Linked DNA regions of Cricetulus griseus. The protein of the gene in region 1 interacts with the protein of each later gene in a pairwise test. Links are inferred from orthologs where the notes say so. Each region holds a gene or a part of one and is shown in the gene's direction. Other genes may lie near its edges.

What was found.
Region 2: the proteins of SWI/SNF-related matrix-associated actin-dependent regulator of chromatin subfamily E member 1 (region 1) and Trim54 interact in binary tests that used the Homo sapiens proteins (3 or more experiments, as listed by UniProt). The two-hybrid records come from large-scale screens. The link is inferred for Cricetulus griseus from reciprocal best matches to the Homo sapiens genes SMARCE1 and TRIM54.
Region 3: the proteins of SWI/SNF-related matrix-associated actin-dependent regulator of chromatin subfamily E member 1 (region 1) and Cep70 interact in binary tests that used the Homo sapiens proteins (3 or more experiments, as listed by UniProt). The two-hybrid records come from large-scale screens. The link is inferred for Cricetulus griseus from reciprocal best matches to the Homo sapiens genes SMARCE1 and CEP70.
Region 4: the proteins of SWI/SNF-related matrix-associated actin-dependent regulator of chromatin subfamily E member 1 (region 1) and Ccdc136 interact in binary tests that used the Homo sapiens proteins (3 or more experiments, as listed by UniProt). The two-hybrid records come from large-scale screens. The link is inferred for Cricetulus griseus from reciprocal best matches to the Homo sapiens genes SMARCE1 and CCDC136.
Region 5: the proteins of SWI/SNF-related matrix-associated actin-dependent regulator of chromatin subfamily E member 1 (region 1) and Mtus2 interact in binary tests that used the Homo sapiens proteins (3 or more experiments, as listed by UniProt). The two-hybrid records come from large-scale screens. The link is inferred for Cricetulus griseus from reciprocal best matches to the Homo sapiens genes SMARCE1 and MTUS2.
Region 6: the proteins of SWI/SNF-related matrix-associated actin-dependent regulator of chromatin subfamily E member 1 (region 1) and Ralbp1 interact in binary tests that used the Homo sapiens proteins (3 or more experiments, as listed by UniProt). The two-hybrid records come from large-scale screens. The link is inferred for Cricetulus griseus from reciprocal best matches to the Homo sapiens genes SMARCE1 and RALBP1.
Region 7: the proteins of SWI/SNF-related matrix-associated actin-dependent regulator of chromatin subfamily E member 1 (region 1) and Cdr2 interact in binary tests that used the Homo sapiens proteins (3 or more experiments, as listed by UniProt). The two-hybrid records come from large-scale screens. The link is inferred for Cricetulus griseus from reciprocal best matches to the Homo sapiens genes SMARCE1 and CDR2.

The regions. Positions count from the first base shown.
Region 1 is NC_048600.1:113,343,560-113,348,317, forward strand, and holds the start of SWI/SNF-related matrix-associated actin-dependent regulator of chromatin subfamily E member 1, read left to right. Parts: upstream 1-1,645; 5' UTR 1,646-1,784; intron 1,785-3,581; 5' UTR 3,582-3,626; coding exon 3,627-3,633; intron 3,634-3,809; coding exon 3,810-3,853; intron 3,854-4,758. UniProt on the Homo sapiens protein: Involved in transcriptional activation and repression of select genes by chromatin remodeling (alteration of DNA-nucleosome topology).
Region 2 is NC_048600.1:13,244,933-13,247,804, reverse strand, and holds part of Trim54 (tripartite motif-containing protein 54), read left to right. Parts: coding exon 1-137; intron 138-372; coding exon 373-395; intron 396-510; coding exon 511-635; intron 636-743; coding exon 744-836; intron 837-1,181; coding exon 1,182-1,192; 3' UTR 1,193-1,869; coding exon of another isoform or gene 1,870-2,251; 3' UTR 2,252-2,512; coding exon of another isoform or gene 2,513-2,805; 3' UTR 2,806-2,872. Other genes in the region: Ucn (urocortin), read right to left, coding at 1,870-2,251, 2,513-2,805. UniProt on the Homo sapiens protein: May bind and stabilize microtubules during myotubes formation.
Region 3 is NC_048597.1:207,716,270-207,720,440, forward strand, and holds part of Cep70 (centrosomal protein of 70 kDa), read left to right. Parts: intron 1-1,474; coding exon 1,475-1,580; intron 1,581-4,171.
Region 4 is NW_023276806.1:198,421,134-198,425,897, reverse strand, and holds the start of Ccdc136 (coiled-coil domain-containing protein 136), read left to right. Parts: upstream 1-1,693; 5' UTR 1,694-1,745; coding exon 1,746-1,803; intron 1,804-2,537; coding exon 2,538-2,645; intron 2,646-4,764. UniProt on the Homo sapiens protein: May play a role in acrosome formation in spermatogenesis and in fertilization.
Region 5 is NC_048597.1:84,168,593-84,171,741, forward strand, and holds part of Mtus2 (microtubule-associated tumor suppressor candidate 2), read left to right. Parts: coding exon 1-21; intron 22-2,106; coding exon 2,107-2,320; 3' UTR 2,321-3,149. UniProt on the Homo sapiens protein: Binds microtubules. Together with MAPRE1 may target the microtubule depolymerase KIF2C to the plus-end of microtubules. May regulate the dynamics of microtubules at their growing distal tip.
Region 6 is NC_048595.1:454,801,875-454,806,045, reverse strand, and holds part of Ralbp1 (ralA-binding protein 1), read left to right. Parts: intron 1-738; coding exon 739-900; intron 901-1,820; coding exon 1,821-1,952; intron 1,953-4,171. UniProt on the Homo sapiens protein: Multifunctional protein that functions as a downstream effector of RALA and RALB. As a GTPase-activating protein/GAP can inactivate CDC42 and RAC1 by stimulating their GTPase activity.
Region 7 is NC_048596.1:79,700,590-79,705,015, forward strand, and holds the end of Cdr2 (cerebellar degeneration-related protein 2), read left to right. Parts: coding exon 1-147; intron 148-394; coding exon 395-559; intron 560-1,936; coding exon 1,937-2,798; 3' UTR 2,799-3,713; downstream 3,714-4,426.

The DNA.
Region 1 (4,758 bases):
TCCTCCAGCCTTATATTTCTCTCTCTGCTCTGCCATATCACTTCCTGTCTCCACCTCCCTAGTGCTAGGATTAAAGGAGTGAGCTCTGTTTCTCTTTTAGAACGGTTAAATCTCATGTACCCCAGTGTCGCCTTGAACTCCTGATCTTCCCACTTCCACCTCCCAAATTCTGGGATTAAAGGTGTGTACCACCACGCCTGCCTGGCCTCTATGGTTAACTAGTGGCTAGCTCCACCCTCTGATCTTCAGGCAAGCTTTATTTGGTGGAGCACAAACAAAATATCACCACACACGGTTCCTCCCCCACACATCCCCTTTTCTATCACTCCACCCCCACAATCGCCAAAGCAGGGAAGTAGCAAGGCTGGAGTTGCTGAGCAGAGCTAAAGATCCTGGACCCCTGCTGTGACCACTCATCTGAAAACTCTCCTTTAGTCTTTCAATGTGCTCTCTCATCTCGTTCATTTCTGCTCATGAGTATGAAAATGCTGAGCCACGGAAGAACGGGACAGTATTATCACTTACCCCTGACACTACAGACTTCTTCTAAAGATACCTCATTTCCTGTTGTCACAACCAGGATAAGGGAAAACAGGTAGTCCCAGTATTCAGCCAGTTTCTCTAAGTGATAACTTTGTCCTTAGATAACCACAGGTCATCTGTTCATTTTTCCTCCACCCAGACTCACCTCAGCTAAGTGTTTCTATACTTCCTATAGTCCGCCTAAGTGCTTGGAATTAGAAAAAAAAAAAAAAAAAAAAAAGGCCCTTGGAATGGTCCAGAAAGGTGCCTCTACACACACTTACTGAGCACCTAATTACCAGCCTGGCCCTTAGAAACCAAAGGGTAATTATAAAACGGTCCCGTCCAGATGTCTGAACCTTAGTTCCCAAGACTTTCCAAAATTAACAGATGGCCGAGTCCCATACAGAGGATCTCAAGACACAGGACTACAAAGAAAGGACTGGCCTGGGAAAGTTCCAGGAGGGCATCATAAAGAAACAGTTGAGCTTGGCTGTCTGAAGCCAGGCTAAGCTGAATTGGTTCTCCTGGAAAGAAATGTAAATTGTCATAGGTATGCGACCTGGTGAGAGTGAGCTGCCAGCTGCGGGCCCTAAGCTCAGAAACCCGTCGCCATCACTCAGCCTCTAGAAGCATCTGGAAAACTACAAAACTCCCGTGTTGCTTTTCGCTGAGGCTGAAGAGGCAGGGAGCCCTGCTGGGCGCCGGCGAGGACCTAATCGCGGCGACCCGAGTGCTCCCCGCCTCCACCCTCCTCCATCCTGCAGCGGCGTAGTGAGGACCACGGCGAAGGGAGACGCCGGGGTGCGGGAGCTGCGTCCCGCCCTCTCCCGCGAGAGGCTCCGGCGCGCCTTCGCCCGGCGCGGGTCTCACACGGCGGCACCACCGCCTCGGAGACGGAATCCCCGCCGCGCTCGCGGCGCAGTGGCTGCCGCCCGGCCGCGAACCAGCAGCTGAAGCAACGCGGCCGGGCCTACTCCGCCCTCCTCGCCGTGACGAATCGGCGCCCGGCTGGGACGGGACCCAAACTGGAAGAGTTCTGAGGAGAGTGTGGAGCCTGGAAAAAAAAATCCTCGGCTGCACTAAGCCTCGCCGAGTCCTCCCTGGAAGACCCGATCGCCTGAGGAGAGCCGGCCGCGGCCCGCGGAGAAATCCCGGAGCGTGTGGAAAGTGCGAGCGCGGAAGCTCCGGCGCGAGGGGCGGGGCGAGCGCGGGACAAAGGGAAGCGAAGCCGGAGCTGCGGGCGCCTTTTCGGCCCGCGGGTGAGTGTTTCCAAGTGGGCCCAGCCCGGTCGGGGAGGGTGGCGAGCGCCGGTGTGTCGGCTTGGCGGGACCCCGAGTTCCCGCGGGGTGCTGGGGATCGGGCTCAGCTCCGAGGCGGGAACTAGGGCCCGTGCGGCCTCTGTGAGGCCTAGCGGCGGCGGGGTCGCAAAGAAGCCCCGTCCGGGACAGCTGCTCCGAGGCGCCGCTTGTCCCTTTCCGCCGGACCCCCGACGCCGGCCGAGCCCCGATGCACACCCTCCTGCGGGGGGGTTGCCAGAAAAGCTCATCCTGGGCCACAAACTCCTTGGACCTCCGGAAGCCCTCCGGGCAAGGCCAGCGGGGTTCCTCACCCACCTGGAAGGAAGGTGGTTCCCCTTTTTGGTTCAGGCAGCGACCTGATGATTCCCGGGGTGGCCCGGAGTGAGGAGTGAACTCCGGGACGGTGTGGGTTGGGTTTAAATCCACCTCTGGCTTTAGACATTTTATCTTCATCGCCCTGAGACTGTTTCTTCATTTGTAAAATGGGGACAGCCGTATGTATCTGGTAGGGTGGTTGTGAGTAGTGAGCGAGACTGTGTCATAAGCCTACCTTGTAAGGTAATTAATTATTCAGCAAATACTGAGTTCCGTGCTAGGCACAAGGGTTAGATCCACTCTTAAGAGTTTATATTATCTTAGCCCAGGAGAGCAATCATTTGAACATATTCGCAGTGAAGTGTAAGGTAGCACGGACATTGTTACAGTTTCTGTCGGGGCTCCCCACTGCAAGGCCTACTAGGTGTTGATGGAAGGAAAAGAGAGGCCTGGGTTGAAAACCTAAGCTGCTTCCACATCAGAACTCTTACCCTGATGATTTGAGGCATTTTCTTAAATTGAAAAGTAGAAGAAGAAAAAAAAAAGTATTTTGTTTTACATAGTGTTGGATGAAAGTGCTCCAGAAGTCATAGTTTTTTCATCACCATTTGTGGTGTATGTAGAGTAAGGATCGAGCTCACATCTGTCCATGTTGTGAGCTGGTAACACTAGGACCAAATTTATGAAGAATTGGGCTAGGTTTGAGCAATACAGTAATAAATTAGACAATCCCTCCTCTCTTTCAAGACAAAACCTAGCCATATCCCTATCTGATACAGAGAAGATGCAATTATTCTGCCCAGATAATTTATCAGGAAAATACCTGGGATAATTTTTTAAATGGGCTGTAAAGGACCAATACGAGTCATCCAAGTAGACTAAAAATTTGCCCCAGTACTTACAAAACTATTTACCAATAAAAGACAATGTAAAGTTTGTTTTTATACCAGATTATCTTTCACACTACTTCCAGGAATAGGACATTGCTCTGCGTCAATAAACAGTGTCCCCTAAAAGAAGCAGAGCTGCTGATCAGGAATTTGTCAGTATCTGGTAGGCCTTGTTGGGGTCACCCTGATAATACATCACATTCTATTGTCATTATTTTTTTTTACCAGTCTAAGTAAACGTTTGCATGGCATCAGCAAAATGTTTTCCATATAAGACGTGGCTCAATATCATAAGCAAAAACCTAAAAATCCATCTCTAATATAACTCTAAATTTCCCAGTAACTTATTTTCATCATTTAATTCTGATCAATCAAATGACTACAAGAACTAGTTAAAAAATATGCAAAAGGCTTGATTACTAGTGATTAACAGTGAAGTAATTTTGCTCAGAAATACCAATCAAACTACCCTATTCTTTAGGAAAACATTCTCTTATGCTTGCTGAGTTTTGATTCTCTTTTTTTTTCTTTTTTTTCTTTTTTTTTATTTTAGTGTCTCAGATTCATTCTTAAGGAACTGAGAACTTAATCTTCCAAAATGTCAAGTAAGTTTCAATTTTTATATTTATCAATCTGTGTTAATACAAGACTAATGCCCTAGCGAATGGGAATTCCAAAATACTCTCATTTTTTTTTCTTCAAAACAGGACCATTGGTAGTTTTGTTGCATAGTATTATATCTCAGTTGTTTACAAGAAGTTATTTATTTTCTTTCAAACAGAAAGACCATCTTATGCCCCACCTCCCACCCCAGCTCCTGCAACAGTAAGTTTTAATTTTCTTGTTAATGTAATAGCCAAGTCTGGCCTTGATACAAAAACCCAGATGTCTTCCAGTGACAGTCACTCAGTCATCACAGCCACAAGATAGCAAATTCAGCTAAAAATCAGCACTTCCTACTAAATAAAATAATTCTTTTCGTCCTACTTTGAACCAAACCTAACATCTAAAAATACATATTATGAGCTTCCAACCTCCTGTGCTCTGTTTTTCCCTAATGGGAAATGAGTGAAACACTTCTTTCTAGTTTTTCCTGTTAAAAGAGTCTTTAAGTTGATTGAGTAAATGCTCATTCTGGCATTATTTATTCTTTTGTTGTTGTTGTTTTTAAACCTAACCTTCAACTGGTTACATTTTTCTCTCTAAGGGCTAGGGACATAGCTGAGTGTCAGAGCACTTGCCTAGCATGTGCAAGGCCCAGGTTGGAACCCCAACAACACAAATTTTTTAATTAAACTTTCTTGTCTATCTATAAAATTTTCACATTAATTAAAGTTTCTATTTCTGCAGATAACTACACTCATCATAAATCTTATTTTCAAGCTGTTCAAGTTAGGATTTCATTACCCGTGGGTCAGAACTTGCTACTGAATTTTGTTCTTTTCCATAAATTATAAAAATTGGCCCACTGATCTGTTTCCAAATGTCTAATGGTGGGAACTGTTTTCACCCAGCAAGCTCTAGCCTAGCTTGATCAGCATGTAAAATAATCGTCGAGGACACAATTCAGATTTAATAGCAACTGTACAGGCCCTTGTTGAAATGCTAAAAAACCACTTAAGATACCCTACAAAATCAGAATCAGGGTTATTTTTTATTTATTTTGTTTTGTTTTGAGACAGGGTCTCTATGTAGCCCAGGCTGGCCTCGAAATGGTGATCCTTCTGCCT
Region 2 (2,872 bases), about 100 Mb from region 1:
CCCGGGAACAAGAGGAGAAGCTGCAGCGCGTGCGGGGCCTCATCCGTCAGTACGGAGACCACTTGGAGGTTTCCTCTAAGCTGGTGGAGTCCGCCATTCAATCCATGGAGGAGCCGCAGATGGCTCTCTACCTCCAGGTGAGCGGAGAGGGAGGGTGGCAGAAACCAGGGACGGGGGAACCCGGTCAAGTCTTAACCTGCGGTACTTTCTTGTCACCACGACCTGGGCAAAGTCACCCTTCTACTTGGGTTCTCTCCTTAACGAATTGGGATAAACGCCCCCACCTACCCCGCAGGACTGGTGAGAATCAGAAATCGGACTTTGCCGGGGCTGGCCCAGCGCTCACCTTGGCCCCCCTTTTCTCCCCTGCAGCAGGCCAAGGAGCTGATCAACAAGTGAGCAACCTGTGCGGTGGGAAAGGAAGGGACCCTGTGGATTCTTTTCTTCCGATCTGGGGAGGGGCTTGCGGGAGCTGAGGCGTTCCCCTGCTGAGCCCTGTGGCCGTCACAGGGTCGGGGCAATGTCGAAGGTGGAGCTGGCAGGACGGCCGGAGCCAGGCTATGAGAGCATGGAGCAATTTTCTGTGAACGTGGAGCACGTGGCCGAAATGCTGCGGACCATCGACTTCCAGCCGGGTGAGGGAGCCGAGGGAGGGACTGTTTGGACCCGCCCCAAGGGTATGAAGTGGACGCTACAGCCAGAGGAGCAGGGGCTCCACATCACCTGGCCTGCCTTCCACCTAGGCGCCGCGGGGGATGAGGAGGATGACGAGGTGGCTTTGGAAGGGGACGAGAGCAATGCAGGGCTGGAGGAGGAGCGGCTGGACGGGCCAGAAGGTGAGAGGTGGACGAGGGTTTTGGGTGAGGAGTGATTGGCCAGCGGTGGGCGGTTGCCTTCCCAGGGCACCAGGACTCGCTGGTAGTCCCCCATTCGGGTAAGTGTCTCGCCACAGGAGCCGCAAAGCGCGCCCCCTAGCGCGCGCGGAAAAGCGCACTCTTCCCACGGTTGGTTTTGCTCGGGCTTTGGGGACCCAGGTGGGTCAGCGAGTAGGACAAACGCAGCTGCCTGGGGGAAGCTAACCGTCGCGGGGCTGTGCGAGCGTGCGCGCGCGCGGGGGTGGGGTGGGCTGGGGTGTGTTCTTCTGCAGCACCCGCCCACCAAGCTGCCTTTCCCGGCAACAGGCCTGCACTGACCAGACCCTGATTCAGAGTGCGAGCCCGCAACGGGAGGCAAGGCATGCTGAGGACCGGCTCAGAGACCACGGCGGCGCAACCCAGCTAGGCATCCCGCCCCCGGGAAGGGTCTCAATAAAAGAATCTTGCGTCCTACGTCCCGTCTTCTTTCCCTGCCCACTCCAAGTCTCTGCTGTAGAAGCAACCTCGCCATCAGTCTGCCCTTTCTCAACCCGAGATCACTAGAAGGGGTGGAGGGGGGATGATAACCCCCGGATGAGCACCTCCTTTACACCAGAGGTGGACTCCTGAGCCCGAGACCTCGAAAGGAGTGGGGTCTCAGGACCCGAGTTCCGGGCTGGGGGAAGGGCGATGAGTCCCCGGGGACTTAACTGATAGCTTTCCTCTCCGGTCCCGCTTAGCATGCTTGTGTCTGCTACCGGCCTGGGGAGCCCCACTACCCCCCAGAGTTCCCACCCTTCTACAGTTGCCGTTGCCGCCCCGCCTCCCCACGACAGACGAAAGAGGCTAAGCTCTAGGGCAGTTTTATTTTTTTACAAAAATAACCACACAGAGTGCTCAGGGTGACTCTGGCGGCACTGCACCGAGGGACTAAGCCAGCTTCGGTCGCGTGAGCTTCAGCCCCGGGGTAGGCAGGGGGAAGGGTCGAGCCTTTCGGGGTCCCACACCGGGCGGATCACTTGCCCACCGCGTTGAGTATGATGCGGTTCTGCTCTGCGCGCTCGCGCTGGCTCTGTGTCCGGGCCAGCTCCAGCAGGGTCCGCAGCAGATGGAATGTGAGGTCGATGGACAGCGGAGGATCGTCTCGTCGCTGCCGCTCGCCTGCGGTCCCCGATCCCGCGCGGCGCGGGAAGCGCTCGGCTAACAGCAAGAGGAGTGCGCGGGCGCCGCCGCCCTGATTCCGCGCCCCGGGACTCCATCGCAGATTCGGATCCTGGACCCCAGTCGCCGCCTCAGTCGCCGGGCTCCACTGGCTGCTCCCGGGGCGCAGTTGTGCCAGGAGCAGCAGTGCCACTAGGAGCGCAGCGCGTCCCCTCTGCCTCATGGTGCCGCCTGCCCTGGACACACAGGGGCAGCATAGGGTGAGGTGCGCTTGGAGCAGCCGCAGGTGACACGAGCCCCTTCTTGCGCACGCCCAGTGCCCCCGCCGGGACCCTCCAGCTGTCGCCTGGTGTCTACAGCCTGCCCACCAGTCCCAGCCGCTGGGCCAGTCCAGTTCCACCCCTCTCTCCCTCCTTCCCTCCCGGCGGGTCGCAGTGGGTAGGCTGAGTGCAGTCTTGGTGCTAAGGGAGTCGGAATCGTTGCTCCGAGCCACTCACATGTTGTCGGAGTGTCTGCCCGGTGCAAGATGGAGCTCCAGTCTCTGTCCCCCGGGGCGGGCTGAAGACGCCTTGGGGAGCACGGGGTCTGTCCCGGGACCGCTGCCAGCCTTATATAGCACCAGGACAGCTCCGACTGACGTCAGCGAAGAACATGAACTGATTGTAGAAGCAATGACAGCGGCAGCTTCGAGTCCAGCAACTTCGAGCCCCCAGAGGGGCACGCATCCTGATCCTGGATCTAGCTTTGGAAGCACCCTGGCTGTAGAGGAGGGAGACGCTAGCTGAGGCATAAAGATTGCTCTTTCCGGATGCAGAGTCCTTCCTGCACATAGAACAGAATAGGCTAGTCCGGGTTTT
Region 3 (4,171 bases), on another chromosome or scaffold:
GTAGTTTGGATTAAATTATCCAATGGCTTGCCTGGTTCAGTCACCAATTTTTGGAGTTATATACATGGCTAATCAAGTCGGGCATTTATCATGTTGTATGATCTCTTCCTATGACCCTGGTTCTATATTAGTATATATTTTACAGCCTCTTGATATCTTTGGTAGCATATCATGGAAATCTCCTTACCTTCTGACTTACTGTTGTCAGTTGGGCATCGTTTAAGGGCTTAATTGCTGACTTTCTGAGACCTTCTAGGTTGCAGTAAAGGAGTACCCCAAATCCATCCTTTCCCTTGATCTTCTGGATTGAATTTGGGATTGGATTAGAACTGCCTCTTTACCAGTGGGAAGTTGGGGGATACCTTTATTTCCCTGGAAGTGTAAAAGTCATTTCCATCATGGATGTCCTAACGTATCACTTACCTTTCTAGAAGTGTTAGAGTTTATTCTAACAACAGCATGTGAAATCACAAAGTTGGCTTGCTCTCCAAAGGTTTGGACATACCCAACTGGGCTGCCAATAAAGCTCCCCAGGTCTCTTTTTTAGTATAGACAGAGAAAGGAGCCATGCACATAGGTTGTCCCAGACTCCATTCTGGAGATCTGCCTAATTGAAAACATGTCTTGTGGAAGAAAAGGGGGCACATCTGGGGACAGCGTTTCCACACTGGGAAGAGGTCTGCTCTGTCTAAAGGGCTGCAGATTGGGATGGATAGCCAGAAGACTTACAGGGGTGGAAACAGTCATGTTGGGCAGTTCATGAATTTGGGGATTTGGATACTTTGTAGGATTTGAAGACTTGTTCTTGCCTGCTGACTCGTTTTTTTAGATGAGATCATATCACAGCCAAAGTATAGGGGTACATTTTACATACTTGGGCCAATTAAGGGTGATCCTTCAAGTAAAAGGACAAATTGAATATATGGGATAGCAGTCCATTTTCCCTCTTGCTTGCAAAGCAGATTGAGCGGAATGATGGTATTGTAGTTTAAATTGCTCCTAGAGGCCAAGATTTCCAATCACTTAGTGGGCGTTCTGGCCAGCCCTGGATAGGGAGAAAAGAACCTTTTCCTTATGACTCTGAGGGTCCGTCTTACTTAGTTTTCTAAGAAGTAGAGCAGAGGATTTGATGTGATCTTGGTTAGGGTCAAATCCATCTGACCCTGTCTAGTAAATGGAAGCATTCCTTGGAGAGACACCTCTCTCCTTACTCTTCCCTGGGCCCAAAGGGATGCCTCTGATCTGGGAGAGCCCTCGTGTTTAGAGATTACTTCTTACTTGTGATGTATTGGAACTTTTCCAGGGGCCGTATGGTTTACACTTTACATACATACATACATAAAGTTTGCACATGGGTGCACACACACATATAAATAAAAAAAAACAAGGTTTTGGGGGAGGCCAGCTCTGTCATTGACTTAGTTATTTTAATCTTCTAAGAAAACATTTTTATTGACTTTTCCTCCTCCTTTAGATTACAAGCGCTTACTGGTCAAAAAAAGACTGATTACACGGAGAAAAAAGATGAGCCCAGCAAAGACAGCCATCAACAGGTTCTAGTTGACCAGAGATACTTTCAGGTATTGAATAGCTGATGAAAAGACTGGTGTTTGTGAAGATCCTTGGTTTTATGCAGTATAATTTGTTGCCACTTGGTAAGGAATGTTTGTATACAGACAGCTCTAGGTATCTGTGGGGGCTTGGTTCTGGGATACTTGTGGATGCCTAAATCTGCAAAATCCCATATATAATGGCATTGTGTTGTGACTTGAATGGGAAATGCCCCCTATAGGTTCATGTGTTTGAACATGTGATCTCCAGCCATTTAGAAATGTTTGGTGTTTGTTTGTTTAAGACAGGTCTCTCTCTGAAGTTCTGGGCTGTCCTGAAACTTGCTATGTAGACCAGGCTAGCCTCAAATTTATAGAGATCCATCTTCCTCTGCCTCCCAAATGCTGAGATTAAAGTTTTATATATTTTAAATTTAGTTTAGGTGTATTTCTTGTCAGGTTTATTTTCTAGGTATTTAATGACTCTCATTGCTGTTGTGAATAAGATCTAGGCAACTTTATGAGAATTTTATTTTAGCTGTTTCTCTGTGAGTATGTAACTGGGACTCTTTCATTTGCTTGCATGGGCTTAGTATGAGAGCCTGTGTGTGTGGAGACCAGCTCTTATTTCACTCTTACTGTTGGCATCTTACTGCTTTTCATATACTTGGTTTCCTGCTCTACTCTTTGGTTTTCTTTTCTTTTTCTGGCATTTGCTAGATTGACAGATGTTTCTTTGTCCTTTTTAATTTTGTTTTGTTTCTGCCTTAAAAGAAAAGCAGTAATTCATGTCATTCAGAGAGCTCACTGACACTGATAAACTCCCTGTGTTGTTGTTGTTTAAAGCAATCTAAAGGTGATCAGAGAACAGGAAAAGCTAAGATGAATTTAATTAATTAATTAAGCAATGGAATTTTCTTAAAGGCTTTTCCTGTTCTTTTAAAAATTCTTATCTCTGCGGGAATTGCTTTAAGTTACTTTATGGTTTCTACATTGTTACTATATCTTTTACTGCTAATTATCAAAAAGGTAGTTAATTCATACAGGACAATGTAAATTGTCACCTGTAAAAATTCTGATGGAATTAATTCTTCCATTAAAATCATGAGTTTATATATAATTGAAATTAAATATTGAAATATATATTTTTAAATAATTTATTTAACTTTATTTTATGTGCATTGGTATGATGGTGTCAGATCCCCTGGAACAATAGTTAGAGTTACAACTGAAAATTGCTGAAAATTGAACCCAGGTCCTCTGGAAGAGCAACTAGTGTTCTTAACTGCTGAGCCATCTTTCCAGCCCCCTGAAATATATTTTCATGAAAACTAAAAGCCTTCTAAATAACCTCTGAAGTCATATTACCAGGAGACCCATTAGTTGCAGCTTGAAGTATGCACAGGACAGAAATTCAAGATAAAATGCTGATCTCATCGTCACGATTCGTGTGTGTGTGTGTGTGTGTGTGTGTGTGTGTGTGTGTGTGTGTGTACGCTTGTGTGTGTTTGTGCATGCATGGGTTCCTGGTGTACATGTGGAGGTTAGAGAACAACTTGTGGGTGGACCATGTGGGTTCTGGGGACGGAACTCAGCTTGGTGGTAAGCAAGCCATGTCACTGGCCCTCATCTTCATACTTGATGATGATTTCTTAAATAGGATAGACTTCATGTTGATAAATGGGGAATTACTTTTATTATGTGTGTTTTGTTTTTTAAATACCACGCAAGGTGTTAAGAAAGGGCAGAGACAGGGGGCAGGTAATACCTAAACTCAGGCCATCTGACAGACCTGGGACCTCATTAAAACACTTTCTAAAAGGCTCTGAAGTTAATTAAAGAGGTAAAATAAGAGAGAAAACAAACAAGGTTGAAAGAATGATCTATTTTACCTGTCTTTGGGTGGTCCCTATTGTAGTGCTCATCATCACATCTAGAGAGTCAAATAGTATACATAATAAGATATTAAAACTTCAGCTCAGATATCAGTGATATTAAGGAGTTGTCAGTTTTCTTCAGTGTGACAGTGGCACTATATTGTATAGACTATACCAGCTTTTAAGAGATGCATGCTTTACTATTTGAGGGTAAAGAATGATGATAGCTTGATTTAGCTGACCCTGCAGACAGAGTGAGCCAAGCTAGGAAAATGTTAACAGTTACTGGATTTAGGTAGTGATTATGTTGAGTGCTAATTTTATGTGTCGGCTTGATTGGGCTTTACATTGCCCAGATGCTTGGTTAAACAGTGTACTTGTGGGTGAATGAATGGCAGACAAATACATTGTACTCCTGTGGTAGGTGGATCTCATCCAGTCACTTACAGAACAAAAAGACCCAGGGGGAATTTCTAATGCATGCTTTTAACATACTTTGTTTGGTTTTGGTTAGTTCTCCTACCTTTAGGTTTGATCCAAAGTGTCAGCCTTCTAGGGCTTTGGAACTACAATTCTGGGTCTCTTCTCAAATTGCTAACTGATAGTCATGGGATTCCATTAATTGCATGAGCCAATTCCTTATAGTAAATCTTTCTTTTTAAAATATGATCTCTCTCTCACGTGTGTGTGTGTGTGTGTGTGTGAGATATTCTAGCCTTCAAGTGATTATACAAGGCCCACTTA
Region 4 (4,764 bases), on another chromosome or scaffold:
GCTGACCTGCAGGTTAATGTAGTTGGAAGATTCATTTTGTTCCATGGGCCAGGTTCTTTGCTGGAAGCTGAAGACAAGATGACTATCTTTTTTGTTTTGTTTTGTTTTTTGTTTTTTGAGACAGGTTTCTCTGTATATGTAGCTTTGAAGCCTATCCTGGCACTCGCTCTGGAGACCAGGCTGGCCTCGAACTCACAGAGATCCTCTGCCTCTGCCTCCCGAGTGCTGGGATTAAAGGCGTGTGCCATCAACGCCTGGCTGATACTTCCCAATCTTAACAGCAAAGTCAGAAGAGCACAGCAGAGTATCTAACAAGGAAGGGCTAGGGTGTCCAGAGACTCTCAAGGTAGGGCTGAAATGACTGATAAGTAGGGATAGGTAGGCAAAGAAGTACTTCGTTCCTGTGGAACATGGCATCCTGAGAAGGTGAACACAGCCAATCCATGTCCAAACTTTAAGAATGAGACTACAAGAGAAAGAACTAGTGTGTGTACCCAGCTTAGAAATCGCCCTCACAGAGCCCATTCCACATAGAGGGATACTCCCTGAGCCCAGACACACGGGGGCGGGCCTAGTCCCTATCCCAAAGGACACAATAGACTCTGATGACCCCCCCCATGGAAGGCCTCACCCTCCAGGGGGAGCAGAAAGGATATGTGATAGGTAGGGTTTTAGTTGGGGGGGGGGCTTGTAGTGGAGGAGGGCAAGGAGAGGGAACTGGGGTTGACATGTAAAACCATCTTGTTTCTAATTCAAAAAAAAAAAAAAAAAAGGAATCGACCCACAATTTTGACTTGGGGAGCCAGTTCCTGTGTACCCACTTCTGACCTGAATGAGACCTGCTGAGAAGTCAGATCTGTCTCAAGATCAAGATCGTCTCTTGAGTGGATAGTTGAAAAAGTGAAATAAGCCCTGTGGTTTCCCACACCTTCTGTTAGAGGGGACATCAGCGGTGCCCACAGGACATGGGGGCGTGACTCAAAGGACATGGAGAGGACAGGTCTTGGTGCACCGAGGGCAGCAGGGTTGGGCTACGGAGGGCTCCTTCTAAGTCAGTCCTTGGCTCTGGCTTGGTGGGAATTCGGAAAAGGCAATGATGCCTGCCTTGCAGTTGGCACATCCAAGTCTCAAGTTCCCTACTCTGCAGCCCTGCAGCAGCTCTGTGGCACGTGAGGCCGCCAGGAGGAGATGGATGGGCTCGGTGAACTGCGGCCATGGAGACCAAGAAGTGCGCGCGTGTCTGCGCATTTGCAGGAAACAGTCCATTCTTGGTTTTTTGTTTGTTTGTTTGTTTGTTTGTGCCTCAATCACCAGGTAGGACCAGGCCCAGAGACCCAGAGCAGAGAGGTCCTTAGGAGCGACTGACCTAGGGTGGGTTCTGTCGCCAGAAGCCACCCATCTTGTCACTCCTTGGGAGCATCCTTAGGACCCGGTAGCTCACGTCCGCCGTGCAGGAGGCGCAGCAGACCCGGAGCTGCCTCCGGTGAGGCTTGGGCACTTTGTTAACGCGCAAGGAGCCTCCAGGGCTGGTCCCTATGCGGTCCGGAGCCGCGGGGACAGAGAGGGTTTCCGGGCGGCGGCAGGCTGGCACCCGCGTCAGGTGGCCAGGCCAGGCCCCGCCCCCTCGCCCCGCCCTCTCTCCTCCCTGCGCACCGCACCGGGCTCCCGGTCCCCGGCCCCGCGGCTGCGGCTTCTGCTCGGAGGCTGCGGCGGCGGCGGTGGCGGCGGCGGCGGCAGGAGCGGCCATGGAGGCAGGCGGCGCGGGCCGGCGCGGGAGCGCGGGCTGGAGCTGCCCCGGCCCAGGTCAGAGCCGCCCCTCCCTCAGCTCCCCATGCTCCTTCCCCCTCTGCTCTCCTTCCTCCTGACCCCCGGGTGCCCGGGGTACTGAGTCGACTTCCTCCACCCCGGCCTCCATCTTTCGACCTGGGGGTGTCCCCTCCCTAGCGGTCACTCCTCGAGTGCTCCCCACCTCGTCTCTCCAGCCCGACCGTGCTTCCAGCTCGCCAGGGGCGGTGGAAGCAGCGGGGGGGGGGGTCTCGAGCCTGCACCCTTCCAGTTCATAAAAGCTCTTGACCAGGGGGTGAGGGTGGGCTGGGCGAGGTTTGGTGAGGGAGGGGAGGGGAGAGGAGAGGCCTGGGTTGGAGCCCCTTCCCTCCAGGTCCGGCCGCCCCTCCCTTCCCTGCCTTGAGCCACCCGCATCCTCCAAAAACCTTCTTTCTTAGTTCCCATCCTACCCCTCTTCTCCTTGTGCCCCAAGCTACACACTCACCCTCTTTCTGTCTGGGCGGGGAGAGGAGCCGGCGACATCCTGGATCAGGGGTGCTGAGGCTGGGCAGCGCCGCGCTGGGGTCCTCTCCTTAGGCAGAGCATGGGAGGTGGCGAAGGGAGTAGAATCACACAGCTGGACAGCGTGAGTCAGGCTCCTCCAGTGGGATTACAAATTTCGGGGCTCCCAGACAAGAATCCGCGTCCCTTTCTTTCCCCTCAGCCCCCAGCCTCTTTCCAATCCTACAGTGCCTACTTTCTCCTGCTCACAGGACCCACAGTAACCACTTTAGGCTCTTATGAGTTATCTGAGGGTTGTGAGAGGAAGAAAGGCCAACGCTGGGGGTCCCTGGAACGCCGTGGGATGCAAGCTATGGAGGGTGAGTTTTCTGTCGAAAAAAAAAAAAAAAAAAAAAGCTTTTCCATCTTCCATCACCCTACTCCCCAGTTCCCTTCCATCCTACTTCCTTCCCTGACCCCAGAGCTCTGAGGAGCCAGGATACGGCCCTTCCCTCACTTCATCTCAGGCCCCTCCTCCCTGGTGGCAGAGCTCCAAGCCTGTCCTGGGCTCAGGCATTGATGGAAGTTTGGGCACATCCCTTTGGGCTCCAGTCACCCAGCTAACCAGGTTGTGTGTCCTGGGGGAGCTGCCAGACAGACAGAGGTCCTGCTGAAAGGAGCCTGGAAGCAGCCTTTCAGCGGGGCGCTTGTTCTCACTGCCTGCTGACCTGGATCCCAAGCTGTCTCTTATTTTTAAAAGCCAGGACATGGGCGGGCGTGTGAACTGTCTTTCTGATGCCTCCACTGTCAACTTTGAATGGAGCCTTGCAGCTTTAGTAAGAGAGGCTTAGGAGAGATCGAAGTCAACTTCCCACCACCACACCACAGGACAGGGCAGGGAGGATCAACCAGGACTTCTTGTGAAGTGACCCCAGGCCCTTTTACAGTTCAGTACAGGCCTCCCCTAGAGACTCGATAGCATAAGGGGTCTCAGATGAACCATATGCTATTGGTATTAGAAAAAGAAAACCAGAGATTCAGAATTTAAAAACAAAGCAGTCTCCACCAAGACAAGATTGCTATTTACGGGAACTGCATTGCAGTAAAAGAAGTGCTCACCAATCCAAAAATGGGACCAGTACCAATTCAAGATTTTTGGTTTTTTTTGTTTTGTTTTGTTTTTGGTATTTGTTTTCTAAGACAGGGTTTCTATGTATAACAGCCCTGGCTGTCCTGGGACTGGCTCTGTAGACCAGGCTGGGCTTGAACTCACAGAGACCTGCCTGCTTCTGCCTTCCAAGTGTTAGGATCACACCTGGCTCAATTCAGTGTTTGGTTTTTTTTTTAATAATTTTACTTTTACTTTATGTGCATTGGTGTTTTGCCTGCATGCATGTCTGTGTGAGGGTATCAGGTCCCCTAGAACTGGAGTTACAGACAGTTGTGAGCCGCCTGTGGGTGCTGGGAATTGAACCCAAGTCCTCTGAAAGAGCAGTCAGTGCTCTTAACTGCTGAGCCATCTCTCCAGCCCCTCCAATTCAGTTTTTAAGATATGTCAACAGTACTGGAGGGATGGCTTAGCAGTTATCTTGTGTTTGATTCCCAGCACCCACATGGGAGCTCACAACCATCCTATAACTCCTATAACTGACCCCCAAGGCTACTGCATGCACACTATAGACAGACATACAAGCAGGGAAAACACCCAGATGCATAAAATAAATAAATATTTTTTAAAAAAATGTGTTTGGATGGCAGGCTTTCTTTTATGCATGAGTTCAGTTTCAGACTTACCCTGAAAACCAACTTGGGTCAGCAGGAAAGAGGTGGCACCCAACAGGAATAAAAGTTAGTGTAGAAATTTTCAAAGTCGGGGCTGGAGAGATGGCTCAGAGGTTAAGAGCGTGGACTGCTCTTCCAGAGGTCCTGAGTTCAATTCCCAGCAACCACATGGTGGCTCACAACCATCCGTTATGAGATCTGGTGCCCTCTTCTGGTGTGCAGATATACATGGAAGCTGAAATGTTGTATACATAATAAATAAAATCTTTAAAAAAAAAAAAAGAAATTTTCAAAGTTATTTGATAGCTTGCTTTTGAAAGGGTTCCCACATTTACCCAGTAAACAGCTCAGAGCCATTCCCTTCCAATGTTTTCCTTCTCCACTACAGGCCAAGCCAGTACTTTCCTATTATTAAAAGGCCACCTGGATGTGGGTTTTTTGCTTGTTGCCTTTCCAACCTTGCCCGATTTGGCCTAAATACGCAGCTGTGTCTGAATGTCTGAATCCTTTCTTAACTCCTTGTCCCATTACCCTGTGATCATACTGGAAGTTCCAGGTGTCCTTATGCTACCAACTTCTTGTAGATGAGCCAGGGTGGTGCTGTAAAGGCAGGAGACATTCAATATTAGGAGCTTGGAAGGGGGAAAGGGTACTTCCAAGTCCGACCCACCAGTGCCTCACTGTGAGTTAGGTCCAGCCCAGGGGATCCTGAGAGGA
Region 5 (3,149 bases), on another chromosome or scaffold:
CCAGAACACAGTTGTCACCAGGTGGGTGCCCCTGGCTGCTGATTCCATGTCCTTGAAAATCTGCATGTCCCCGTGTTCAGCCTGAATAATCCGATGCCTCTCAAATGAGCAAAAGAAAAGCACATGGCTGTGTCCCCTCAGTGTACATCCTGGCTGTACGTCACACCTGCCCCATCCGCTAGGACAAGACAGTTCCGACCACAAGCAAGGACAGCAGGGGCTCCACAGAAGGGGCTGTGATTGCTTCCTGGAGATTGGGAGAGGGGCATCAGCAGGGTGTCCCTGGGCTAAAAAGAACCATGGCTAGGTAGATTCCCAGAGCTCAGGTTAGCTTGTCCCTGCAGGATCTTTTCTCAGGAGCCTTGCTTTCAAGGAAGGATCAGGAATCCCCCTTGACCCCAGTAGTGGGGTGAAAACAGAGCTTGGAGGCCAGCTGGAGGTTATTTTGTTCAGCAAGGCTAAGTCACTCTAGTGTGTAACCAGTCACTTTCTGTCCCGCCAGCCAGCTCTCCTGCCCCCCCCCCCACACACACACACAAAATGGCACAGGCTTATTATTTATTCTAAAAGCCGGGCCTATAGCTTAGGCTTCTCCCACTAGCTCTTATAACTTAATTAACCCATTTATATTAATCTATGTTTTGCTTCATGGCTTTTTACCTCTCTTCCATCTTGAACCTCCTGTTTCCTCTTCACGTCCTCCGGCATCTTTCTGGCACCTGGATTCATCTCCTCTTCCTCTCTCTCTTCCTGGAAGTCCCACCTAACCTCTCCTGCCTAACTATTGGCCATTCGGCTCTTTGTTAAACCAATTAGAAGGTGCCTTGGCTTAGACACAGCTTTACAGTATAAAAGATTATTCTACATCACTAATGAGATTCAGGCCTGAGCCCTTCCGCTCTCAGCTGGACCAGTCTCCTCCATGCAGCCGTTATGTATCGTCCTGTGCATATACACACAAGCCCATGTGCACACACTCCTGTGTACACACTCCTGTGTAGTCATACACACACATGCTCACACCTACACTCATATTCACACCCATACTCTCACACATATGCACTCATTTACACACCACCTATTCACATGTCCACACATACCTAGCCACCTTCCTCAGATAGCAAGTGCAGGTGTTGGCCCAGAGTACCATTTCTGGACTTTAACCTATCCAGTTGTAAAATGTGTTTGTACGTCATGCTAATTCCTTGAAGAGGCTGTCATTGTTAAAAATACAAAATGAACTAGACAGGTGATTCAGTGGTTAAGAGCACTGGCTGCTCTTCAAGAGGACTCAAGTTTGATTCCTGGCACCCAGATAGCTGCTCACAACCCTCTGTGACTCTAGTTCCAGGGGATCCAACACCTTCTTCTGGCCTCCAAAGGCACTGCAAACAAGTGGCTCTCAGACATGCATGCAGGCAGACCACCTATACATATAATTTTTTTAAAGTATTAAAAACATGCAACAAAGTCAGCAGCTTAAGCATTATGACATTACATGCCATACGTGTACACACACACACACACACACACACACACACACACACACACAGAGAGAGAGAGAGAGAGAGAGAGAGAGAGAGAGAGAGAGAGAGAGAGAGAGAGAGAGAGAGAGAATTGGATTTTCTTTCCCCTTTATTAGCAAACAGTGAGAAGGCATCTGGTTTTGGGTACCATGCTGAATGGCAGCCAAGAAGGTAACAGAGCCTTGATCTTGCTCTCTAGGGCTTGTGGTCCAGCAGACAGGTAGCTCCACAGAAGAGCTAAAGACTTTGGTCACAGAAGCATGGACCCAGGGCAGGAGATAATGGGAAGATATCCCCAGCTGATTGGCAGCTGTCAGTCAGTACCCTGACCATAGCCATGGGCAGTCTCCATCTCTATAAGGCAGGCTTTCCTATGGGCCTCTAGCAGCATGCCCATACTGCCTACCATCTCCCTCTGTTGTACTCCAGCCCCTAGACTTTACCCTGAGCACAAGCACCACCTCCCCTAGCCCAGCAGAGAGCTGTGAGCTGTGAGGTATGGCCCCTGTCCTCTTCCCAGCACCCTGCTTTGATTATCACTGGTAGGTCTGTTACCTGACCATCATTCTCCCCCATGCAGACAACTGTCAGAGGAAAATGCTAATCTCCAGGAATACGTGGAGAAAGAGACCCAGGAAAAGAAGAGACTGAGCAGAACCAATGAAGAACTACTTTGGAAACTCCAAACAGGGGACCCAACCAGCCCGATTAAATTGTCCCCGACATCCCCGGTGTACAGAGGCTCTTCCTCTGGACCCTCCTCTCCAGCCAGAGTCAGCACCACACCTAGATGACATCGCTTTGCCACCTACAGGAGCTCAGGCTTCTGTCCATCGGAGGGAGTGCTGGCCAGGTGCTGGTGGCCGCCCTGTGCGCATGCTCAGTAGCTGCATATACATCTTAGCAGCGTCCTCTCTGACCCCTGTGTGAGACCGTCCTGGTATTGGTTGGCACTTAGAAAGGTGTAGGCAGCAGAGTCCTGTGTCCAAAAATGTTTTAGTGTAGTTAGAGGCAAAAGAGAAGCAACTCCCATTGTTCTTGAGAGATGAACTTTCACAACAAAGGTATAGGTCAGTTGCAAACAGCTCCGTTTTGAATGCACAGAACCCTCCTTGTACTACCGCTTGGGTATATTCAGACATGTGGGTATACACATGTGGCGATTCTGAATTGCATTTTTTATAACATGATGCGCTGACATATTTTAGTGACGGTCAGCAGTTTTGTAAGTTGTGCCTAAGAATTATTGGGAAATGAACGTGCATTTCTATCTAGTTTCCTGAAAATATTTCTACCCAAAATAGAGAAGAAAAAAATGAAAAAAAAAAAAAAAGGTAGAAGCACGTCTATCTGCCGCCAGGTGATACCCTGCTTAACATAAACACCAGCGATTTGTAGACGGTAACTGCCTTTGGAGCAATTAGCTTCTTAGTCCATGTGAGGTGGGGTCCCTGTTACCACATTGCAGGATTTAATTGTGCCCCCTCCCATCCTGAGAGATGAAACGTAACAGGGGAAACACTGACGGGTCGAGTGGTTTGGCCCATGTTTTTCCCCTTAGTAATTCATTATGGTTTTGAAAACACCAATTTAGCTTTCTCCCACCCCCTAAACAGCATCTTG
Region 6 (4,171 bases), on another chromosome or scaffold:
TTGCCTTTACAGTAAGGACACTTTTCTGTGTCAAAAGAATGAAGGAGACAGTAGCTCTAATTTTTGTTTTGTTTTTGGAGACAGGGTTTCTCTGTGTAGCCCTGGCTGTCCTGGAACTCACAGAGATCCACCTGCTTCTGTCTCCTGAGTACTAGATTAAAGGCGTGCGCCACCATCACCAGGGGAAACAACTGTTTCTTAAATTTCTCAGATATCATTTTTGTTAGCCTGGGTTTCAGAATTTGCTCAATACTATGTTGTTACTCAACATTGCCATAAGGTGGATGCCTGGGCCACAGAAGCTCCAGGGGGATTGTAAGAGAAAGTTTGAGCAAGGAAAACATGTCTTTTTTTAGTTGTTGAGCCATCCTGCAGTACTGGCTTCCTAGCCTGGGAAGCCATGGAACACTGGTGCATGTGTGCACCAGAAGAAGGGGCTCCACCTCCTCCTGTATTCAGAGAGCTCTCAGAATACGATGGAAATGGTTATTAGACACTGCTAATTGATGGTAATATTTTGTACCCTGCACGGGCTTTCCCCCTTATGGTGCTTGAGTACATGTTTAAGCCAGGCTTTCCTATTTCCTTCTTAGTTGATGGTTAGTTAGTAGCCCGTTTTGTCCCTGCTTCAGAGACTTCCTTCCTCTGTACAGGGTTAATAAAGGATGTGCTGTGACTGGTGCAGGTGGAGTAAAGACTGCCCAGCAGTTTTTTAAACTCTGAACCTGTTTTCTGCAGATCAGCAACCGTGTCCTGTATGTGCTCTTCACACACGTGCAAGAGCTCTTTGGCACTGTGGTCCTAAAGCAAGTGACAAGACCTCTGCGTTGGTCCAACATGGCAACGATGCCCACACTGCCAGAGACCCAGGCAGGCATCAAGGAAGAGATCAGGAGACAGGTGTGTACTTGGCCCCGCCTTGACCCCGTCCCTCTCCTTACTCTCCCTGCCTGCTTCTGTGCTGGCCACAGGGAGGAGCTGTGGTCAGGAGGCGATGAGCTCCTGCCTCTACCTCTTGATGCAGAGGTTTTGGTACACACTCAGTTCTGTGCGGCCCTGGGGGTGCAGTCCAGGGCCTTATGCAAGCCCTATACTCCTCCCTTTGAGGCGCATTTTCAGCTGGTCCTAGTTCACACCATGTAAGTAAACAACCATGGCAGAAATGGCGTAGGCTCTTACACTGTAAGAACTGATTTCAAACTCCTGTCACGCTGACTTTTGGCCAGTTGTTCAGTGTTTTAAAGCCTTGGTATTCTCACCTTAAACGGGTGAGCTCTGGCGTTAATGTTGGAGATAGTGCATGGGGAGGACTCACCCACGGCCAGGAGCGCAAAAATGTTTCTTTTTCTAGACAAGGTGCTATAGTGGAAAGGAAGTTTAGTAATTTACTCTGGCATAATTTCTAGACTATGTGACCAAGATTTAGCTCAGAACCTGAGCTTTCCCACTGTTGTACTTTGCTATCTAAAAGAAACCCAGTAAGTGTGTGCCCGTGTAGAGCGGGAAGATAGAGCCTGGATAGGAGGGTTGCATACATGTGTTTGCATGAACATGGCCACACGCCTGCTTTCTGTCTGCTGGCGTCTCCTTAGCAGTTGCTGTGAGGCAGAAACATAAAGGAGGTGAATTAATTGCTATTGAACTGCTAGACACAAATGATGAGCGTCTGATTCCCAGGTGAAGCAAATGAGGATGGGTTTGCAAGTCAGTGCTGGCCTCGTGGAGAGAGTAATCAGCGCTGCTGTGTCGTGGGGGTTGTGTGTGCTGCTTTGAGATGACAAGACACTGAACAGCATGCCACGTGTCCTTTTGTTTTCTAGGAGTTTCTTTTGAATTGTTTACATCGAGATCTGCAGGGTGGGATAAAGGACTTATCTAAAGAAGAAAGATTATGGGAAGTACAAAGGATTCTAACTGCTCTGAAGAGAAAACTGAGGGAAGCTAAAAGACAAGTGAGCTACTGTCTGGTGTGGTGCAGAGTGTGGCAGGCAGAGCCTTCCATGCCCTGCCAGCCCCCAAATCATGACTCGAGATTTAATATTAGTGGTGAATGCTCGTTCTCATTTGGGCTTGTCCCTCTGGTTCCTATAACTTAATTTAACCTGTTTCTCTTCACCTGTGTTCTGCCTTGGGGCTGTGTACCTTCCTTTCATCCTGTACGTCCTGTTTTCCTGCTTGCTATGTGTCTGGCTGGCTGGCTGCTGCCTGGCTAGCCCCAGGGCCTCTCCCTTTGTTCCTCCCTCACTCCTCTTTCCAACCTAGGTTCCTCCTCCTTACTCTCTCCGCCCACCAGCCCCGCCTGTCCCTCTCCTGCCTGGCTATTGGCCGTTCAGCTCCTTATTAGACCAACCAGGTGCCTTAGGCAGGAAAGGTGGAACAATAACATGTCTTTACCCAATAAAACAAATTCAGCACAAACAAATGCAGCACACCTTTACATAGTTAAAGTCATATTCCAGAGCACTACAGTAAGTTATTTCTTTAAAAGCAATAGATACATGCCTGTTGATGTTAACTGTCTGGTGGGAAATTTATTCACATAACTGTTTGTTGTTCTGTGTTACTCATATTTTAGCTTGGTATAAATCAGATGTTTCATTAAGTTTAGAAGTTTTTTTTTTTTTTTGTTTTTTGTTTTTCCTGCCTGGTTTGTGTCTGTAAACAGCTTTCCAAGGGTGAGAAGCAGGCTGGGTGTGAGACCTTTGGAGATTGCAGAGAAGTGTGAGTTTTGAGAGGAAATGCAGGGCTGAAGGCCCAGGAGGATTTTGCACATCAGGGCAAGAACTGTGTGCAGCAGCTGCTGCCTATAGAGCGTACAAGCCGTCTTTGGATTCTGAACTAGTTTAGTGTGTGGGGCTCGATTCAGATTCCTGGCCACACCAAGGCTGAAATATACATCCCTGCAGATCTTGCAATCTTCATGCAGATCCAGCAACAAGATTTAAGTGGCTCTCTAGTTGGCACCTCTCAGACTTGGAGAGTGGTGTAGGGGATTGTTGCATGCAAAGAGCCACCTGAGTCTTTTGCTTCAAGGTCACAGGCTTTGTTGGGAGCATAGTTGTGCTTAGCCCTGCACTCCAGGTGTCAGGACATGTAGTCCAGGGGAAGCCCTTTGCATGGTTCTTTTCTCCCCAGCTCACAAGATTGTCTTATGTTTCCCATCCTTTTTTTTTTTTTTTTTTTTTTTTTTTTTTAATAGGATCTCATGTGGCCCATGATACTCTCAAACTTGTTCTATAGCCAGGATGACCGTGATTCTGCTGCCTTTGCCTCCCCAGTGCTGGATTGCAGCAGTGGGTTTCCATGGGCTGTGAGTCACGACTTAGAACATGGCTAGTGGAGGCTGGGCTTTCCTTTCTCGTGTTGCACATCTATTTTGAATAAAAGAACCATGGTGTAGGGCATGGAGACAGCAAAAGGCAAAGTCCTTGCTTTTGCAAAAGTAAGGACCAGAATTCAGTCCCCAGCACCCAGATAAAAGCCAGATGCGATGACTTATGTTTGTAATCCCAGCTCTGGGGAGGTGGAGACAGGAGAGGTGTCTCCTACCCTAGAGCTACCCGTGAGGCCAGCTACCCTAGAGCAGTCTGTGAGTTCCAGGTTCGGTCAGAGACATTGGCTCAAAAAATAAGGTAGAGAACTGATTGGGGAATGACACCCAACAGATGGCCTCTAGCCTCTACACATATGCACCCAAGTACCCAAATACAGGTGCACACATACACACAGAATTTTGGATTGAAACCTGAGGCAGTATGAAAAGGGGATGGATACCTTCATTTTATCAGGTTGGTTCCCTCTCCTACCATTCCTGATGCTTGCTGCCTTTTTTTTTTTCCCCGGCAGTGGGGGGGGGGGTTTGGTTTTTTGAGACAGGGTTTCTCTGTGTAGCTTTGTAGACCAGGTTGGCCTCTGCCAGCCTCTGCTTCCCGAGTGCTGGGATTAAAGGCTGCACCGCCACTGCCTGGCCTTTCTTTGCTTCCTTCTTTCCTTCCTTCCTTCCTTCCTTCCTTCCTTCCTTCCTTCCTTCCTTCCTTCTTATTTATCCATTCATTGTTGCTGTGAACCCAGGTCCCATCATGTTGACTTCACCTTTGAAGGAGAAATGACATAAAAACAGAAGTAGCATCATTAGTGGATTAAAGACTAAAAATAAGAAAAAAATGTAGTA
Region 7 (4,426 bases), on another chromosome or scaffold:
TCTGACCAAACAGGTAGAGCTTCTACGGCAAATGAATGAGCAGCATGCAAAAGTTTATGAGCAGTTAGATGTCACAGCAAGAGAACTGGAAGAAACCAACCAGAAGCTAGTTGCTGAGAGCAAAGCCTCACAACAAAAAATCATAAGGTAAAATTTCTGTTACTGAGGGCAATCTACAAAGGAGTTATTTAGCAACTAATTTGAAGTAGAATGTGCTGTTGAGGGTTTGGGCAGTATTGGACAAAGGTTCATTATTTTAGGGGAATGGGGATTAATTTTAAGTCCTTTTCAATTAAGAAAGGCAAGTTTGAGTGGCTCACACCTAATCCCCCTTCATTGGTTTTGATCTTAATTTAATGTGACAAGCAGCAACCAGCTTGTGTCTTATTCACAGCCTGACGGAAACAATTGAATGCCTGCAAACAAACATTGATCACCTCCAAAGCCAAGTGGAGGAGCTGAAGTCTTCCAACCAAGGAAGAGGGAGGCAGAAGACATGTGACCGGGAGAAACCAGCACCCAGCTTCTCCTGTCTGAAAGAGCTGTATGACCTCCGCCAGTAAGAGCCTGCCTTGTTGTGGATTTTCAAGCTGGGAATATCCCATGTCATTGATACACTCTGGATTACCATAGATGAAAAGCTCCATTTCAAGAAGTGCCCCTTGCCTGTTAAGCCATTAGTAGTTTAAACAAAGCCACTGAACTTAAATGTAACAGTGAAAGTTTATTGGCATCTATAATTCTTTTCATTTTAATCTGTTAAATATTAGTTTAAAATTAGTAATACTTCTGCTACAGTATAGATTTGGGGGATATATTTCACATTAGACTGAAAGAAAAAAATGAAAATTTTGGAAGCTGGGTGTGATGGTGCATGCCTCTAATCCCAAAACTTAGGAAGCATGGGCAGACTCTATGAGTTTGAGGCCAAAACATAGCAAGTTCTAGGACAGCCAGGACTATGGAGAAGAGACCTTGTCTCAAAAGAAAAGAAGACAAATTTTGGTAGAACAAAAATTGAGGCAAAAAAGTATTTTCACCTAAAAAAAGTGCCCTTATAATTTGTAGTTATGAATTTGAGTCTTTAATAAATACTTACTAAACACCTGTTAACACTGCAGTTGATGTGCCAGTCATCAGGAATGATGGCCAAAGTAGACATGACCTTTCAAGAAGTCAGATGCTCCACAACCAAAAAATTGCACTCAAGCTGCCTAAGATGGGATAGGAGAGGCCAGTTAATGTTTCTCCCCCTTTACTTTTTGTCACACTACTTATAGAGATTTGAGGCTTTTGAGATAAGATCTCATACAGCCCAGCTGGCCTCAAACTCCTGATCCCCCTGCCTCCATCTTCCAAGTGCTGACATTGCATGTGTGTACCTGGCACTGTGGATGTTTTCCAAGAGCAGATACTAACTCTCAGGTCAGAATTTCTTGGCATGAACCTAAAGCTGTCCCAGTGCTGCTGATGTGTATCCCTAGTTAAAAGTCTAAACATCATGTTTCTTAACCTTGGCCACACATTATGGAGAACAAACATTTAAAACCATGTAGATCCAAGTAGCAAACCAACAAGGTCAGAATGAATGGTGTGAGCTCCAGGTTTTTAAAACTACCCAGCTGTTTGTGATCTGCAACTAGAGATGAGACTCTTCTTGTCCATCACATTTCTTGTAAGCAGCTGTCATTCTGCTGGTTTACAAGTGAGTTTTCTAAACTACTTTTACTATTCAGGGGGTGGGGATCAGTCACAAAATTGTTATTTGCTTTCAAGAATTTTCCAGCCTCATATAGTTTAATTTTAGCCACTGCTTGTAGCATTGAATGAGCTAAAAATTGGTGTCACAGCTCTTTAAAAAGATTTAGTTTAAAAACCCCAGCAACTTCCTTTGTACCATCAATTGACATTTAATTATTTCCATATTTCCTCATAGACACTTTGTATATGACCACGTGTTTGCTGAGAAGATCACTTCCTTGCAAAGCCAACAAAGCCCTGATGAAGAAGAAAATGAGCACCTGAAAAAGACAGTGACAATGTTGCAGGCACAGCTGAGCCTAGAGAGGAAGAAGCGAGTGAGCGTGGAGGCAGAGTATAAGGTGGTACTGAAGGAGAACTGTGAACTAGAGCAGCAGCTGGGTGCCACAGATGCCTACCGAGCCCGAGCACTGGAGTTGGAGGCAGAGGTGGCTGAGATGCGGCAGATGCTGCAGTCAGAGCATCCTTTTGTGAATGGTGTTGAGAAGCTGGTACCCGACTCTCTGTTTGTTCCTTTCAAGGAGCCCAGCCAGAGCCTGCTGGAAGAGATGTTCCTAGCTGCTCCAGAAGCACATAAAAAACCACTCAAGCGCAGCAGCAGTGAGACGATGCTTAGCAGCATGTTAGGGGGTGATATCGTGAAGGGCCATGAAGAGACTTGCATCAGGAGAGCTAAGGCTGTGAAGCAGAGGGGTATCTCCCTTCTGCATGAAGTGGACACTCAGTACAGTGCCCTGAAAGTGAAGTATGAAGAACTACTGAAGAAGTGCCAGCAGGAGCAGGACTCACTGTCACACAAGGCTGTGCAGACCTCTAAGCTGCCGGCCAGGGACCTGACAGGACTGGTAACCCAGTCTGAGGCTGGAGCCAGTGGCTGGGAACCCACTCCTGTTACCCCAGAGCCCATCAGTTCCCCCACCACTACACCTCCAGAATACAAAGCACTATTTAAGGAGATATTTAGTTGCATCAAGAAAACAAAGCAGGAAATAGATGAACAGAGAACAAAATACCCATCTCTCTCTCCTTACTCTTAATGATACCTCCAGTTATGATCTGCTGGTTTTCTCTCATCCCCTCCCATTCAGACACATAAGCGCAATTTCCAAAGCTTCATGTTGCTAAAGATACTTGTCTCATTGCTTTGCTTAATTGGCAAAAGCGGGAAGAGAGATGGCTGATAATGTTGACTCTAGGGTCCCTAGGAAGTCTCATGATAGACTGGCCTCTGGTTGGTGCATTGATTAGGTTGACCTCCAGGAAAAGCCCTAGAACCAGTGGAGGGGGATCCATGTAGCTGGGGTAGGCTAAAGCACCAACAGTGTGGGGCAAAAGACAGAATTGGAACAAGACTAAGGCTGTTCCTATTGCTTCCATACTCAGCTTCTCAAACTACTTGGAACTCCATGGTCTGCTTAATTAACTAAAATGCTTTTCAGAAACACCCATTCCAAAGAATGTTGAGAAAGCTGAAATCTAATTGGAAATATGACATTAACAAGCTCCTTAAACCCCTAAGTTTTGTTGCATCTGCTACCAGTTGAACGATGACTGACAGGTAATCCTAATATTTCCAAATTCAAATGAATGCCAGTTGAAATGGCAAGTTTTGTTTTGATTAATGCCTATTGGTATATGCCGAGCATTCAGCTGTTTTACTCAAATCTATATGTAGTATTCTGTTTTCAAATAGAAACTAAAGGAGAAATGTTAAGGTGTGATCTGCGCTGACCACTTGGCAGCACAAGCTGCTCCTACTCAGTTCTTAACATTCCTAGACTTGCAGAAGTTCCTGTCTACTGCATTACACGGTATTGATGTTCTGACTGTGGAAACACTCTTCTCACTTGTACACTTTTAATTTAAAAATATTTAAGAGAACCATGGTTCTGATTGTTGTATATATTTTTCTAAAAGCCAAATAAAGCTATCTATGAATGTGAACAAATAAATTACTGCCTGTTTTAAGCTTAATGCCATTTTACAGTTGAAACAACTGGCTTTTCCCCAATAGATAGCTCTAGGGAATTTGAAAATAATTTCTCCTTATTTACTTTTAAGCAAGAAACCCTTGGGATTGTATAACTTAATATAAATTCTGTCCATGTTGCTAAATATTATGATTGAAAACATTTTCCAGGGACTGGAGAGGTGGCTCACAGGTTAAGAGCACTGGCTACTCTTCCAGAGGTCCTAAATTCACTTCCTAGCAACCACATGGTGGCTCACAACCATCAGTAATGAGATCTTGTGCCCTCTTCTGGTGTGTAGGCATATATGTGGGCCAAACACTGTATACATAATAAATACAATCTTAAAAAAAGAAAACATTTCCCACTATTTCAGAAGTGTCTGGCTTAGTTCTGAATTCATAGCATTTAACTATTTGGTTGTTAAAGCATCCAATCAGTTAATCATAGTTAAAAACTTTTCGATGTTTGACTATTGGGCTGGGACAAAGGCTCAGTTGAGTAAAGTGCTTGTGTAAAGACCAGAGTTCATGCCACAGCACCCGAGTAAAAGGTACGAGCATGGTGCATGTACATGCAATAGCACCCATGCTATTATGGGTATGGAGGCAGACACCAGCAGATCTCAAGGACTCACTGGCTCTAACCAATCGGTAAGTTCCAACTTCAAAACTCAAAAAATGAGAGCAAGCGCT